Lonchura striata: one gene and its partner. The protein of the gene in region 1 interacts with the protein of each later gene in a biochemical or structural test. Links are inferred from orthologs where the notes say so. Each region holds a gene or a part of one and is shown on either strand. Other genes may lie near its edges. The genes, in order: RAPGEF2 and RAP1A.

Region 1 (8,222 bases):
CAGTCCATATGAGAGGATGTTAGGAGAGAAAAAAACTAGATCACTATTACTCACAGCTTAAGGGCATAAAACCATTTGTAATTTATGAACATTTAAAAGCTAGATTCCCCAAAGTAGTTAAATTAACTTCCTAGTTCATGTCTTCAAAGAGAAAATGAATAGTTTAATACATCAATTAAAGAGAAGAGTTACACAACAGGCATGTTAAAGTACAGGCCACGTATAAATCCTTTTCTTTTATTTCTCATTTTCTTTAGCCAACAGAATACCGAGTTGTGATTCACAAAAGTCAGGAACACTCTGTAAAGGAGGATATACCAAAGAGATATAAAGTTATAAATTTACAAAAGCAGTTGCAGAATAAACTGTTTACCTCAAGGAAAAAAAAAATCAGTTCAATCCAAAATTACCAGGAGATTTTTGCACTATAAATGTTCATGCCAAGTTAAGTTTGCTTTCCCCAACAATGTTTATCAGACCTACTTCTCTAAGTTGTACATACTGGCTATCATTCTGTCACTCCTGTCCTCTGAGCCTGCAGTGAAGGCATGGTGCCAAATTTGCACCCTGACAGTCCAGGGTGAATAGAAATGTCAAACAGATATTTACCTCATCATTATTTGGGAGAAGCTGAGCCCCAAAGAGTTTGCTAACATAAGAAAGAAGCAAATATGCTACTAACATACTTCCCTTGCTATTTCCTGCACTGACATGAATATGATAAATATATTTTCTCTTTCCAACCCTCTCTCAACTTTAAAAAACCCTCATGACTTTCCAAAAACCAAAATTAAGTAGCTCTCTTTTAGAGATAGCATAGCAAGGACAGGAAAAGACAAGTAAAGAGACAATAAGTTACTTGAAGGGAAGAAGGAAAAACAAGGTCTTTGTACATTTCTATATATTTTTTCCTTTTCATGTAATGATGAAAGATGAAGTGCATAAACATATTTCTTTCAAATTGCAATACAGTTGTAAAATAAAATCAAACTTACTTAACAGAGAACCATCAGTAGAAAATTAACACACATAATTCAACACGAGCCATTTACAAAAACACCAGGTTTTCTGCTGCAAGCCCAATCTCTCCAGCAGCAACAGGAGGGCACCACCAGTTTCAAGTATTTCCAGCGCTAACAATGCATTAGATTTCCCACATACTTGGTCTTATTTGTGGATTATTTTGGGTCAGTGTCAGTTTCATGGATTTAAGGGTGGGTTTCTTTTCCTGTGGTGATTGCCACAGCAGGCTGCCAGCGTGCTGACTGGGGAAGTTTTCCAGCACTAACGCAGCCCTGGTGTTCCCAATTTAGCTCTCTGCTCTGTGCCCTTCACTGGGCTTTATCCCTGCATTCAGGCTGGATTCTTCACTGCGTCATTTCTTACTCTCTACCTTTCTGTGTTTCCTTATTATCCCTTCTAGACAGCAAGGCCAACTGGCAAGGACATGAGAAAGTTTAACAGTTCACACCACAGGGAAAGCATCATCCCCCAAGCCCAGCCTGGTGGCCCCACAGCCTGACCTAGTGGTTTTTGAGCATCTGCCTGCATCTCTCCTCCTGAGCACCCCACCGTGCTTCCATAACCATGTCCTGAGGCTGGACACTGCTGCTAGGCTCCCCCCAGCTGGAATCTATGCCTCTACCAATTCAAGGGACCTCGCTGCGAGTTTGCAGAGAGTGTCTTCTCCAGGAGGGAGCACTCAGCCTCCTTCAGCTTTCACAACACGCTGAAGGGCTGGGTCCAGCACTCAAGGCAAACAGACATTTGGAAAAGGTCAAACAAGGACAGAGAAACAAGTTTAGCACCACAAAAACATGTTCCAGAAGCAGCTTCCTTTTCTTTTTTTTTTTAAAAAAAGAAGAAAAAAACAGAGTTGCCAAAAAGGCATGCCACATACGATGCCTATGCAGTCAGTATGTTTTTCCATGAGAAGTTTTATTTTCTCACACAGATTCCATGAGTACAGGGATAAAAATAACATTACCACAATGACGTATCTATAGTAGGAGGAATGACTTATGGGTGCTGAGCAGAAGTCAAGGTTTCCTCTTTGCCCCAATTTGAAATCATCACCAGCCAGTCAGACGCCTGCCAAAACAATCAGTAACAGCATCTCTTCCCCAAAACCCGAATACAGGGACTGCTCAGAGAGCAGGACAAGCCTTTAGAAAATAGGACAGATGGCATTACAACTCCAAGCAAAGTAACTCCTTGTATCATTAGCTATTGAACCGCAGCTTGATGTGGGGATCAGTGTAAAGCTTATTAGTCTTTAGACAGTTGGCAGCAACAGCCACTGCAGCAACCGTTCGGGAGCAGAAGGAACTCATTCAGTTTAGTTGTTTTTCAGGTCATGTTAAGTCAAAATGTTTCCGTACGCACTCCAGTCCCCAGCTTAACCTTTCTCAGCCTCTCTAAGCGCAACTACGCTTACAAACAGCTTCGACTCACACACTCCTCTGATAAAGGGGGCTCCAGGATCGCGGCGCAGGTATCTAAAAAATTCCTGCCTGGTGCCATTGTGTAAGGATTTCACCCTACTTTGGAGAGCAAGGACTTGCCAAGAATACCACTGACCTCAGCCCCTACATTATGAAACAGCACTGCCAGCTCCAGCCAGCTATGTAAAAGTAGGGATTGAATTCAAATCCTGAGCCACCCGTACTCCGGGGCAATAACAAAACACACACACTGACACACAGAGGGAAAAAAAAAAAAAAAGAGAGAGAGAGAGAGAGAGAGAAGAAAGGAAAAAAGGAAAACCACATCACCGAAAAATTGTACTCTAAGTTCATTTTCTTTTCACCGGAAGCAACCTTCAAAACAAACCCAGCTGGCGTTTCTCCCTCTCCTTCCCCCAAAATTAGGGAGTAGGAGGAAAGTTGTCGCGTTAATGCGCGCCTTCCCTTCCCGGGAGCTGCCGACCGGGAATTCGGCGCTGGGGAGTTCGGCGGGGGCTGGGAGCGGGGTCAGCCGTGGCCGCGCCGCCCGAAGCGGGGCCGTGGGGCTCCGACCGCCCCGGCCGGGGCTGCGCGGGGCGGGCGGGGGCAGCGGGGCGGCCCCTCCGCCCGCGGGAGCCGCGGGGCACGGCGCGCTTACCTGGGGGCTGCGCTCCGCCGGGTTCTTCATCACCGCCTGGCGGAAGCTGTTATCCACGTAGGACGCCATCGCGCCCCTGCCGCCTCCCGCCGCCGCCCGGGAGGCGCTGGGGGAGGGCGGCCGCGGCCTGGCGCTGCGCGGCCGGAGCGGGCGAGGAGCGGGGAGCGGCGGCGCGCAGGCACCGCGGGCTCAGCAGCGCCGCCGCCCGGAGCTGCCGGCGGCGGCCGAGCCCCGCCGGGGGCAGCGGCGGCGACCAGGGCTCGGCGCTCCCTCCCGAGCCGGCTCTACGCCTCCCGCCGGCCCGCTCCGCCGCATCCCCTCGGGCACCGTCCTCGTCGCCTCCTCCCTCCTCTTCCTCCTCCTCCCATCCGGGCTGATGGGGGACTCCGCGCCCGCCTCGGCGACGGGGAAGTTGCCGGCTCGGGGAGGCGGAGCGGCGGGGGGCGGGCCGAGGCGGGACGGAGGAGGAGGGGGGGGGCGGGTCGCCGGGGGTCGCCGCCGGCAGGGTCCCCTCCGGCTACGGTGCCTCAGCATCCTCCCCCTGGGAACACATCCTGGCCAGGTTTAACCACAAAAAAGAAGTCTGAGCGGCCGCCGCCATGGTCCCGAGGGACGCGCATCATCGCAGCTTCGGCGGTGCTCCCTGTGCACGGATACTGGTGATGGGCAACCTGGACGCCAAAAAAAAAAAAAAAAAATAAAGACTTGATAAAGACTTGGTCTGCCGAATCTAGTGACTTCGGGGAGGCCACCTGTTGTCACGCTTCTCAAAAGTAATCCGTATCAGCCGGCTGTCCCCTCTGTCATTGCTATGTGGGGCAAAAACGGGGAAGGGAGGGGTGTGAAATCGTTAATTTATCACTGTTCTGGGGGTTATCTAGCGGCGGATTCTTCTCACGTGAACTTAAGTTTTTAAAGAATAAAGGATCTCGCAACATGGCTGATTTTCTTTGTTTACCGCGACACCGAGCCCGTCTCAGCAGCAGCCTGACAAACGCCAACCATGGAAGTATTATTAGCGTGCCATTAGCGGCGGGGTAATACTATTAATGTATTTGCTTTCACAAGTGATGTGTACCCTTCGCTGATACGGATCACACAATGTAAATAATGTCAACACTAATAAATCTCTTTAATTCCCAGTCACTAGCAGTCACATTTCAATTCCAAGTAAGGTAGTGTCATCTTTATTTCATGTTTGTATTTGTGAAAATTCCCAGAGATAACCATCTTTTCCTTACCAAACATACACTGCTAGTCCCAGGAGAAAAAAATGTTACGCTTTTAGACACAAGTGGCTCTCAAAAATGCTGTGTCTTCAGACAGGAATCTACTAAACCTACTCAATTTCTAGATACGGCTCATTAACAAAGATAGCTCTTTGGGCTAATCCTACTCATATGTGTCAGCAAAATATTTTTGCAGTAATACCAATTATTCTGGGCAGATCATTGGAAAATACTAGGGAGTGCTCCACATTCTCTATATCTTGCTTATCGGTGCTTACTAGAAGTCCTTATGGGGGATTTTAATTTTTTTTTTTTTTTTTTTTAGTAACAGATTGAAAATGTCATGTCCTGTGCCCTAAAAAATAACAGTTTAAATATGCCTCGTGTTCATCATCCAGTGATGATAATAATTCCTTCAAATTAATCAAGCCTGCAGCTATAGAAAAGTGCCAGCTTTTCTGCAGCTCAGTTTACCAATCCGGAGTGCTGGAATGCCCTTTTTTTGGGGGGCATATGTATAGCAGGAGTGCCACAGGAATGTGAGGAATGCTCTCTTGGGCTTCACTCCTCAATCACTTCAGGGCACCCATTCCCTGCTGCTGCAGCCTAGCTTGCCTGACATCTTTATATCTCTACATCAAAACAGAGCTACCCACTCTATTTTAATATGCAATTATCTTTCATTTCAGACCTATTAGCTGTAACAGCATCAAGTCGAGTGTTTTGCTCTGGTTAATTTTTTGCTGTGCTGTCTGGTAACACAATACCTGTGATTCATAGGGATATTCCTCTTCAGAGAATGGGATTTCAGGGCTCTCATTGTATTCTGATCAGTGTCACAAATCTCGATGGTTATAGATCTGTGTCAAAGGCCTATAACACATTACGTGACTTGTTAGAAATGGGAATGAATGAAAGAAGAGAACTGTACATAGAGAACTATGTACAAATATACTCAACAACTTCTCAATAATATTTAAGGATGTGTTGTGTTAACACCTTTTCTTGTGTCTGTAAGCAACATATTTGTATAAAGCAAATACTTCTGATTATTCATATCCTCCATGGTGGATACTAGCATGTCCTTTATGCCATTTTTTTTTCTCTTGCTGAAATCAGTCTAGTTACTTCTGAATAGAAAAAAATAAACAATAAATCAGTAAATAATCATCAAGATTCAGAGTAAGGACAGTTATTACTTGAGAAAACATGCAATTATCTCCAGAAACCCCCATTTTTCACTGCAAGTATTCAACAAAACATAATTTACAGTGTCAAATGCTTTTGCAACTTACATTTTCTCTTAGTCTTACTGCCTTCCGGTTTTTCATCTTCAACAAAAAATCAGTATGATTTTAAATACACATATATACCAGGACATGCCATTCATTTTGCTTATTGGTTACTCTTCAGGATATATTATCTAGCTTTACCCTTATTTACAATGGATTGGGTTGGTTGGTGGTTTTTTTGTTTGTTTGTTTGTTTTGAGGGGGAGTGTTTTTCTGGTCATGGTAATACATTACACAGGTTTCCTACCCATCTTACACCAGGAAACCAAGAGTTAACTATACACATGCAGTTCATATAATGTTGCTATTTCAACAGTATGAAAACGCTGCAACACAAAATATGACAGCTCAGCATAATATCTTTTTTGGATAGCTAGAAGTAATAGCTATGTTATTTTATAGAAGTATTTTGCCTTAGAAAGACAGGGTATCTGCCCTCCTGAATATGTCCATTTCTTTCAAGTGGTAATTTGAAATGGTCAGGTCAAACAGTTACTAAAATGCTAAGAAAACAAATTCAGCAGTTCTGGGAACATTTTGTTCATTTGCTAAACCTCATTTTAAAGAAAATACACTTTGAAAAGCTTGCACTTAGCTTAGCCATATGACTTTCAATTCATTACACCTGTAGTTAGTCACCCACAGTTAGATGCTTGGCTTGCTTGGGATGCACCAGTCTGCCCTGGTAAGAAATAAAACACTGCCATTTTGAGGGAGTTTAGCATTATCAACAGTCTGTATGGTTATAAGCCCAGGGATGCTCCTTTCTCCCATTTCTTGGGTAAGTACTTGTTTCCATCTATCAACTGGAGATAGCACAGCAGGTGAAGCAGATTCATGCAGTCAAACTCCAGCCCTTAGAATTGCCCTACTCCTTCCCATATCTTTCTTCTTGGCAACCATAAAAAGATACTTCCATAACCATTCATGGAGGTAGACAGTTATTGGGGAACAGAGGTATTGGCCTGGTGAACCCCTCCAGAGTTGACCTTGAGAACAGTAGCCATCCCCTCTGGACTGGGCAGAAGCCAATTTTGTTGGATTTTAAGTAAAATATTAATTATTTTAGGTACAAGTAAGGCCACTACCAAGGAGAGAGTATCTTATCCTTTAAATAAGATTAGCCTCTATGCTCTCTCTTTAGGGTGGCATCATTTCCAAGAATGATTCCCACTTCTGGGATTTATACATGGCTGGGATTACTACCACTTGCAATTGCAGTTTTTAGTACCTTCTGCATTATGATGAAGGGCATATGAGTTTGCTTGTTTGTTTGTGTGGTTTTGTCTGTTCATTTTTTACATAACATGCTCTGTTATTGTGGATATTTGTTGTCCAGTAATCATTTATGTATGGGCGCAATATGGAACAACCACTCTGCACCTCTGATAGGTAGAAGGCTAATTCAGACCATAGTAAAATAATTCTTGAATGTTTACCACAGGTTTTATGATCCTTTTATACTCATAAGATGTATGAAATTCTGAAGATTACAAAAGAGAACCTGGCCTGTGCCATAAAGGAAAAATCATCCTTTGTTTTGTTTTTTTTATTGAAGGAAAAACAGAAGAACTTTTGACTACTATAATGCATTTCATGCATTTATTCAGAATTTGCCACTATTTGCATAGCTACATTTGGGCGTATTTATCATTAAACTTCTGCTGTAGCTGCAGATGTATGCAAACCAGCTCTAGCTAGTTAGATTAATACTAGAGAAACAGCATGTGCCGTCCAAGTATTTATATGATCTTGGAGAGGAATTCACAGTCCACACAGTGTTCCCTTCAGCTGTACTGATAAAGGTGCCCAAACAAAAGGAAAGGTGGCTGTACTGCAGCAGCACCCAGGAGGCACAGCAGAACTGTGCTACACACTGTGTGAGCACTGAACAAATCTGCAGCAGCTCTTGAAGGTCAGGTGTGTGTTTCTGAAGGTCTGGAACATCTACACAAACTTGCTCTGTGCTTGTGACCACGGTACAGGTCTGCCCCTCATCCCTCAGGAGTAAAAGTGAAGATGGGAGGTCTTCTCTCCTGGTACCCTGCTGGGAAGGTGTGCTCCAGACCTCAGGTCAACATCTGCCCCACCTTCCCCGTCTGTGAAAAGAGACACAAAAGTAGCAACTTTTAAACTTCTTAGGTATTCTGAGATACAAAGAAGCACAGTAAAGTGCTATTTCTAGTAACAGTAGCAGCAGCATTTTGAGGGGTTTTTTTAAACATAAAACTAACCACAGAGAGAAACAGTGAAATTGCATCTTTTGCACATCAGGATGTGTGGTGAATGAGGTTGGATTGGTGGGATGGTACAAAGCACACAGCAATAAGTCAGTGCTTCAGTCCTGGTGTGCTCTGGGACAGGCTGCCAGCATGGAGAGGTGCTCTGTGTGGGTCTCAAATTGCACCTGCTACACAGTGGCAAAAGTATCAGAGAGACTAAAGTGTCATTTTAGATAGATAACACTTTCTGAATAATGTATAGGTTAAAAAGGCACTCCACTCCTTTACAAATAGTCATCCATGAACTAATATAGGCAGGATATACATAGGAACAATTTCAACTGCTGAATGTATCTCATAACAGTTTCATGATCTAC
Region 2 (8,078 bases), on another chromosome or scaffold:
GGAGGAAATCCAGGCTGCTAGAGCTTTGGACAGGGAAATTCCTGCTTGCAGAAAGCAGAGAGCGAGCAGCCCGTTGTGCTGCTGTCACCCTGAACCATGGGAATCCCTGTCCATGGCAATTGGCAGCTCCCTGCCGTAGCTGAGCAGGGGAAGTGGGATTTGTGCTTCCTTCCCCAGTGAGTTTCACAGCCTCTGATGGTATTTATAGAGCCCTTGAACCAGAAACCCCGATCAGCCTCTGCCTTTCTCCTGACTCTGCAGAGCTGCAGACACCAGACAGACTCCAGGCCCTTCTGGCATGCTCACAAGGAAGGGAAATGTTTGGGAAGCTGCAAAAGAAGCCTCCCTGCATCCCATGTCCCTTTCGGAGCCACAAAGGAGGAAAGCCCAGGCTTGCTGGTGGTTTTGGTAGGGGAGGTCTTGTTCCTGCCTCCTCACCCTTTCTGCAGTCCCGGTGCTCACATCCTTAGGGCTCAAACCTGGAAAATACCTGAGTTTGCACTGGGATCCAGCCTTGCCTGGGATTTCAAGGGATTTAGGGACACTGGATGGGCTGGGGAGGAGCATGGCCCCAGCACTGCTGCCCAGGAGCAAAGCCAGTGCAGGCTTTCCCTTTGGAAGCCTGCTGGAGCTCTGCAGAGCCCTGCCTTGGGACCAGCCACCCCTCCCAGACCCCACAGCTCCCCTCTAATCTGCCTAATTGCCTGGTAGCTTCCCAGCCAGCCAGTGGGCTTGGAACAAAGCCAGCCTGCAGTGGGAGCAGGGATCAGGGATGGGGCTTCCAGGGAATCTGGTCCTGTCTGCTCTGGGAACAGCTCAGGCTCGGAGCTCTCCTGCCCTGCAGAGCTGGGGAAGCTGGGCTGAGTTAAATGATCCCTTCTGCTCGGCAAGGACAGCGTGGGAGGTGAGCTGTGAGCTCGGTGACCCTCAGCCAGGGCAGCTGCTGGCAGCCATGTGCCTGCTCACTGCTAATTACATCATTAGTCATTATTCATAATTATACACTGCAATCTCATCTGGAAAGAAAATATTATGCTTGCACTTCAAAGGCTTGTGTTGAGGTCTTTGGAATGAGCGTTTTTCTCTTGATTCTTCCCTGACTAGAGTTTAAAGAGTGATTATTGTAAGTTTAGAGAGCACCAGCTCCTTCCTTGTGCAGCTTAAGTTCAGACAGGAGCAGGATGCAGTCAGCACCTTCACTTCTGACAGCCAGGGCACAGGATAACGTGTAATTAGCCTGCATGGTGTCAAACCCACTTTCATTTACTTCCAGCCCTCTGATTCTATCAGCCAGGAATCCAAGGTCATTATGCAATCACAAATTGTTTCTGAATTTCATTAAATCAGCAAATGGGCCTTAGCTACATATTTACATCAGCTGAACTTGTGATAATTTATCCAATTGGGCAATTATTGTTTTGGAATAAAAGAAGTCCCGAAGGATTCTGCTTCATATTAATTTGCCTGCAGAAGACTCAGTGCAACCTCGGCAACTCAGCTGCAAAAGCAGGTGAAAAGTTGCAATCCTGTTGCAGGTTCTGGGATAAACAAGTGTTTTCCTTTCAGTCTTTTACCACTGCCATACAGCAGGAAAAGGGGAGTGAAATCTTGGTGTAATTTAATATGAATGGATTTAGAGTTCAGGAAAGAAGCTATTGTGGCAACTCCTGCTTTGTACAAACAGATGGGCTGTGAGAAATGACACCTTTTGCAATAAAACTGCACAGGGACGGGTCACTGGATTTCTTGGGCTGCGTCCAGGACATTACAGGCTGTGTCCTGTATGTGACAGGGTGCAGGGAATCGATTCTCTGTGCTCACCTCCTGTGCTGCTGCTGAGCTGGTGTGCAGTGGAGCTGGGGCTGGTGCAGGTTCCAGCCCTCCAGGCAGGTGTCCCTGCAGTCATGGACTTGCCAGAAGTAGGGAAAGCACCCAGGAGACACAGGCGTGGATGTCACTGCCTGCTGCCAGAGGGGATTTGCTGACCACAGCCCACTGCTGGGCGAGAGCTACGGAGCAGCAGGCAGGAGGGAGAGCTCTGGCTCAGGGGCTGCATCTGCCCGAGCGAGGGCAGGACTGGGAGAAACGGATCCAGATGTTTGCCCTGCACGAGTCACTAGGAAAAGTGCCTCTGAGTTCACTGAACTTGGCCCTGCTTCTCCTCTTCTAATCATTTCATAGCCAGGTTCACACTCATCCAGATCTAATTTCATGTACTTGCAAAGCCTGACTCAGCAATAAATGTTATCAGCCTCCACTGAAACCTGCAGAAAACGGGGGAAGAAGTCAACCTTCCCAGAACACACATCAAAAAGGAGCTCTGTCTTGCTGAGTCAGGCCCTCACTGTGCCTGGACCCTTATTGTTTTGAAACTTGGAAGATGGTCCACAAGCCATGAAATAGATAAGTGTGTGATTCTTAGATACAATAAAACTCTTCAGTTGGTGTTCAGTGGGAAGAGCTGCAAATGTCTTGATATCTGGGGCAAAGCTTGTTAAAGCTTTAATTTCAAAGGAAATTTGGGGTGAAGCCTTCAGAATGCTCAAATGTACACTGAGTCTTTTAAAGGAATTGCATCCCTTGCCGTTTCTGCCCATAGGAATGTGTTTTTACACAGCTTTTAAAACAGAAGTTACTGCTGATTTTGTCCCTGCCTGTTTTCCAGACACAGGCAATGTTTTTAAACATTGACCTAGTAACTTCCTAAGTTCATAGATTTCACGATAACATTTGTACTCTGAAGAAACGAGGTGCTCAACCACGAGTGCTGAGCATCCTTCAAGGCAGATGCTTTTGCCACCCCGACTGTCCCACTGTGCCTGAGCCTCTCAGGGCTGAGGCTGCCAAATCCTGCAAAGTGTGGAAATCTTTTGCTGACATCGCCCTGCCTCCAGCGACTCCAATGCAGCCGTGATTCACCTGGCTCCCAGCACGGTGGTCCCCAGGGAAGGAGACACCTCTTAAGCCATAAAAACAGGGATTTACAGATGGGTATCAGCAGCCACAAATTGTACCTGGAAGCAAAATTGTGCGCTGTGTATTTATTTCTGCTGCACGCACAGAGCTGTGAGAGGAGAACTGGAGCACTTTCAGTTACAGAGGGTGAGTGGGGACGCTGAGCTCTGTGTGCCTCCTGGCTGCTCACTTGCTGGGCATTTTGGATAAGTCATTTAATCTTTGTTTTCTCATCTGTACAGCCACACAAGTAATATTTAGCATTTTTGTTGGAGTTCTGGATGAGAGGCAGCATGACTGCTAAAATATTGTTGCTGTAGCGTGTGACCTCAGGGAATCTGCTCGTGTCCCTGAAGTTTTGCAAGCGGCGGTGGGGAGTGTGGGGAGGCCCGTGGGTGTGCTGCTGCTGCTGCTGGCACCGTCCTCTGCAGGAGCATCCCCAGGGACAGCCGCAGTGCTCCTCCTGTCCCCGGTTACGTGAGGAGGTGACAGTGCTTGGAGCTCGAGAGATCCCTCTGCACCTCGTGGAGAGCGGGCATCGCAACCACGGAAGCTACTACAGCTCCTCTGGGGTATTTATGCATTCTTAACAAGAAAAAAAGCCCCTGAACTTTATTGACTGTTGACATTAGGTTTTCTGGAGTGTGCAGTTTGGAGCTGAATTATAGTTGAAGTTGGGGCTAATGAGGCCATCTCCCAGATCAGCGACTGTGCAGGACTTCTGACCTGATCCTCTCTGTCCGGCTGCCGTCACCTACAAACCTCGGTGACAAAAACACCATCAGGACCTGTATGTGCCGTTCCCTCTTCCCCAGTTTTATCTGTTTCGTGTCAATTACATGTGCACTTCCGTGTTACAGCTCTTTCTTTTCATAGTTTTCTACAAAAATAAACAAAACACTTTGAAGTGCTCTCCCGGGTCGGAACCGGGACGGAACCGGGACAGAACCGGGACGGAGCCGGGACGGAGCCGGGATGGAACCCGGACGGAGCCGGGACGGAGCCGGGATGGAACCCGGACGGAGCCGGGACAGAACCGGGACGGAGCCGGAACGGAGCCGGGACAGAACCGGGACAGAACCGGGACGGAACCGGGACGGAGCCGGAACGGAGCCGGGACAGAACCGGGACGGAGCCGGGACGGAGCCGGGACGGAACCCGGACGGAACCGGGACGGAGCCGGGACGGAACCGGGACGGAGCCGGGACAGAACCGGGACGGAACCGGCTCCGCCGGCCGCGCACCCCCGGGACAGAGCCGGGACGGAACCCGGACAGAACCGGGACGGAACCGGCCCCGCCGGCCGCGCACCCCCGGCCCGGCCCGAGCCCCGCACCTGCCCCGGCCCTCCCGGAACTCCGGCCGTCCCCGCCCGCCCCGCTGGCTCCTCCCCGGGCCGCGGCCGCGGAGGGCGGAGCGGACGCGGCGCCGCCGCCGCGCAGAGCAGCAGCGGCAGCGGCAGCGGCCCGGCCCGGCCCGAGCCCCGAGCCCGGCCCGCAGCGGCGGCGGAGCGGCGGCGGGAGGCGGCCCGGGGGCGGCGGTGAGCGGGGGCGGCGGCGGGCCGGGCCGGGCGGCGGCGGGCGGAGCGGCGGCCGCGGCCGTCCCGGCGGGCCCTGGAGGCCGCGCGGGCGGAGCGGGGCAGCGGCCGGCGCGGGGTCCGGCGGGGCCGGGCGGCGGCGGGGCCGCGCCGGCCGCTCCCTCCCGCGGCCCGGCCGGCAGCGCGGGGAGGCGGCTTGGCCCCGTCCGTCCGGCCGGCCCCGCCGGTCCGTCCCGCATCCATCGCGTGCGGCCCCGGGCGGGCTGCGCGCTGCCCGCGGTGCCGCCGGGCTCGGGATCAGCGCAATTGCCGCGGTGGCGGCGGGGTCAGGTGTGTGCGGTGCCCCGCTGCTCCCCGCGCTGGGAAGGGGCGCGGGGATCGTGCGGGGCCGAGGAGCGCCGGAGTGAAGGGACAGCGAGGCCGGAGGCACGGAGGGTGGGCTGGCACAGGCACGGCAGGACGGGGCACAGCCTGTACGAACCGGCCTGATGGGCGGCAGGAGGTTTGGGCAGCTGGGACAAGCCAAGGGGCAGCCCCCCGTGAGCCACGTGGAGCAGCGGGCTGGCCCATCCTCATCCTCCCCATCCTCACCCTCCTGTCCATCCCCATCCTCACCCTCCTGTCCATCCCCATCCTCACCCTCCTGTCCATCCCCATCCTCACCCTCCCAGCCCATCCTCATCCTCCACTCCCAAGGACTGGTTGTGTCAGACCACCTCAGCTCTGAAAAGGGTTCTTGCACTTCCTTCAGTCGCTTTAAAGAGAAACTGTGCTCTGTGTAGGGAAGCTTTGGTGTTTAGATACTTCTCGTTAATTGGTGCCTTTGCTTGCGATATTTGAGGTACAGGGCATGTGGGTTTGGTGCAGGGATTCCTGCGAAGTCTCCTCGGTGGGAAGGTTGGGGTTTGGATGCAGTGAGCCAGTTCCCCCTGACACAGAGCTGGAATTGGGTCTTGCTTTGCGCACAGCTTGGAAAGAGCTGCAAACAGGAAGGGCAAACGATGAAAACTGCGTTTTTTCCTTTCAGTAGCTTAACAGGGGAGATAATATATCTTAAAATAGTGTTTGACTTGAAAACGCCTGTCTGCCTTCGGAGTATTGTACCGGCACTCTGTAATTTCTGCTGCTGTTGTAATTCTCTCTGAGTAGTTGTGTTGCTCCACGCAAAGAGACACCAGATTATTTGAAGACTTGAGGAAAGCGTCTGTTCAGTTGACAGTGCCTGTCTGCTGTGAAATGTTTCACTGTTGTGATTTGTGTCATTGCCTTTTTCATGCTGAAATGGTGTGTCAGTAATTCTCCCTGGTGTAGCGGATCCTCGGATCTGAAAGGGTTTTAATGCGGGAATTTGTGAGACTCTCAGGAAGTAATGGATGAAGCTTGTAGAAACAGAGAATGGTGCATTAGCAAAGCTCTGTGCCTTTAATGAGAAGTTATCCAAAACCAGGCAAGTTAAAGGGAAGTTCCAGATGGAGCTTTTGTGGTCTCCGCAACTTTCTGAATTCACAGAAGCGATATATTTCACAAGTATGAAATGCTGTCTGATTATTCTGACATCATTATCACGTTGCTATAGTGACTTCATTGCGCTGGGAATGCCATGTTCACATCCGGTTGCTATGGAAAAAATCAGTGTCATAAATAAAAACATTTAATGTTCTGTTCATCCCTGCGGCAGGAAAAAAGGCATCGATTTATTGACGCGAGTGAAGACTGGCAACATATTCCAACAGAAGCGCTTAGTGCCAAGTCACAAACTGGGAAATTGTCGCTTGCCGCTCTCGGCAGATTGTCCCTTGCCTCTCTGTGTTGTGGCAGGTAGCAGAAGTTGTGAAATCCTGGGTTTGGAACGGAGGGTGACAGAGCGTCTGTCGTTCTTCAAGGTGGAGCCGGCAGGAAGTGCTGCGCTCGCACCGCTTCTAAAAATAATCTGTTTTTATGCACAGCGTTGGCGTGCCTCGCAGGAGCAGAGCTGCCCCGCTCAGGGCAGCTCCTGCACGGGATGGGGCTGCCCGGGAGCTGCGGGGCTGGGGAGCCTTAGGGCCAGCCTGGGATGGAGCTGTCCCAGGCCAGAGCTGTCCCACCTGGGCTGTCACCCCGGAGCTGTCCCAGCCGGGCTGTCCCACCTGGGCTGTCACCCCGGGCTGTCACCCCAGTGCCCGCCAGGCCGGAGCTGTCACCCCAGGCTGTCACCCTGGGGCTCCCCGGAGCCCAGCGCTGCCTGCCATCACGTGTCCTGGCTCTGGCGTGGCTGTTTTTAGGGTAAGTAGCTTTGCTGAAGGTTCTGAGAGGATCTCCTGCCAAACGGGCTGAATTAACTCGCACTGCCCAAGTCCAGCACAGGTTAATGCTTTTATTTGGAGACTGGTGTTTACACAGGGCATCAGAACAGTTTATATGTGAAGCCATGAGCTGCAAATACACGGACATAGGTTATTAGTGATACATTTCGTGGCTGCTCGGCCAGTCTGAGGACTGTTCTTAAAAAAACTGAAAAGTAATTAAATGGCAGGAGGGCAACATGTGGATGTGCTTGAACATTAAAGTTGTAATTGTATATTGAATCATCGTGCTGGGCATAAACAACAGCAAGCACTTGTTTGTACTTTATATTGCAGTGCTTTTTCTCGTACCCTGCACGTGCACAGCGCACTCGGTGGCACTTTGAACTCGTGCTCAGTGTTTAGAGAACAGATTGCTTCTGTGCAGCTTTGCAGACTTAAAAAAATCATCTTCAAGAGGAATCCTAATGCTCTGACAACAGGAACCTGTTATCTGCTTTCCTAGAGAAAACAAAGTGTATCTTTTGAACATACATAAGTTCAAACCTTTAGGCTTTATATTTGAAGTGTTTTTTATGTGTAGCTGTTTGAAGTTCAGGATTATCCTTGATCCAGTGTTACTTTCAACCTTGCCAAAATCAGCTTAGCTGGCTCTGGCTGTGGATGCTGATCAAAACTCTTGGGTTTTAGGGCACTATGGGAGACCTACTATTTTATCAGTTTCTTTTAATTTCTGATGAGCCACATTCATGTTGAACATCAGTCGCTTCTTATAACTTCGTGTATTTAATTCTGCAGAAGCAGATTCAAGAGAGACACAATTTTTAAAACTTGGTCAAGTCCGAGGGTGGCGTTTGGCCTTTTTTGGCCTTGATTTTGGGGGTTGTTGGGTTATTTTTTGAAGATGAGGTAGTGAGGATGGTGGTTAAAGTATAGCCTCAGTTCATTTTATGTTGAGCGCTGAAGTAGTTATTTCTTTTCTTTTGCTCTTTTATTTACTAGATAATTGGAAATTAAACAGAATTTTAATGAAAGCATCTTCCTAAAAGGGTGCTTCTAAATCCCAGGGTCAAATTTTCCTGTAGGCATTTGTGTTTGCTCTTTAGGAAAATTGCTGCTGCTGGAAACATGACACCTAATGGCAGAGATAAGTAAGGATGTCCCAAAGGCTTCTGAAAGGACTGTTCATCTTGCTGAGCTCTCTCACTTGGTCCAGCCTGTCCTGCTCAGATGTTAAAACTTGTGTGAGATGCAAACAGTCCCTCTCCATCCTTCCCCGCAGGTCCTGGCAGGTAGAATTAGAC

The links.
Region 2: the proteins of RAPGEF2 (region 1) and RAP1A form a complex in vitro, tested with the Homo sapiens proteins (2 studies listed by BioGRID and IntAct, with this or other methods). The link is inferred for Lonchura striata from reciprocal best matches to the Homo sapiens genes RAPGEF2 and RAP1A.

What each region holds. Positions count from the first base shown.
Region 1 is NC_134606.1:40,593,042-40,601,263, forward strand, and holds the start of RAPGEF2 (rap guanine nucleotide exchange factor 2), read right to left. Parts: upstream 3,244-8,222; 5' UTR 3,172-3,243; coding exon 3,103-3,171; intron 1-3,102. UniProt on the Homo sapiens protein: Functions as a guanine nucleotide exchange factor (GEF), which activates Rap and Ras family of small GTPases by exchanging bound GDP for free GTP in a cAMP-dependent manner.
Region 2 is NC_134632.1:5,465,246-5,473,323, forward strand, and holds the start of RAP1A (ras-related protein Rap-1A), read left to right. Parts: upstream 1-4,431; 5' UTR 4,432-4,495; intron 4,496-8,078. UniProt on the Homo sapiens protein: Counteracts the mitogenic function of Ras, at least partly because it can interact with Ras GAPs and RAF in a competitive manner. Together with ITGB1BP1, regulates KRIT1 localization to microtubules and membranes.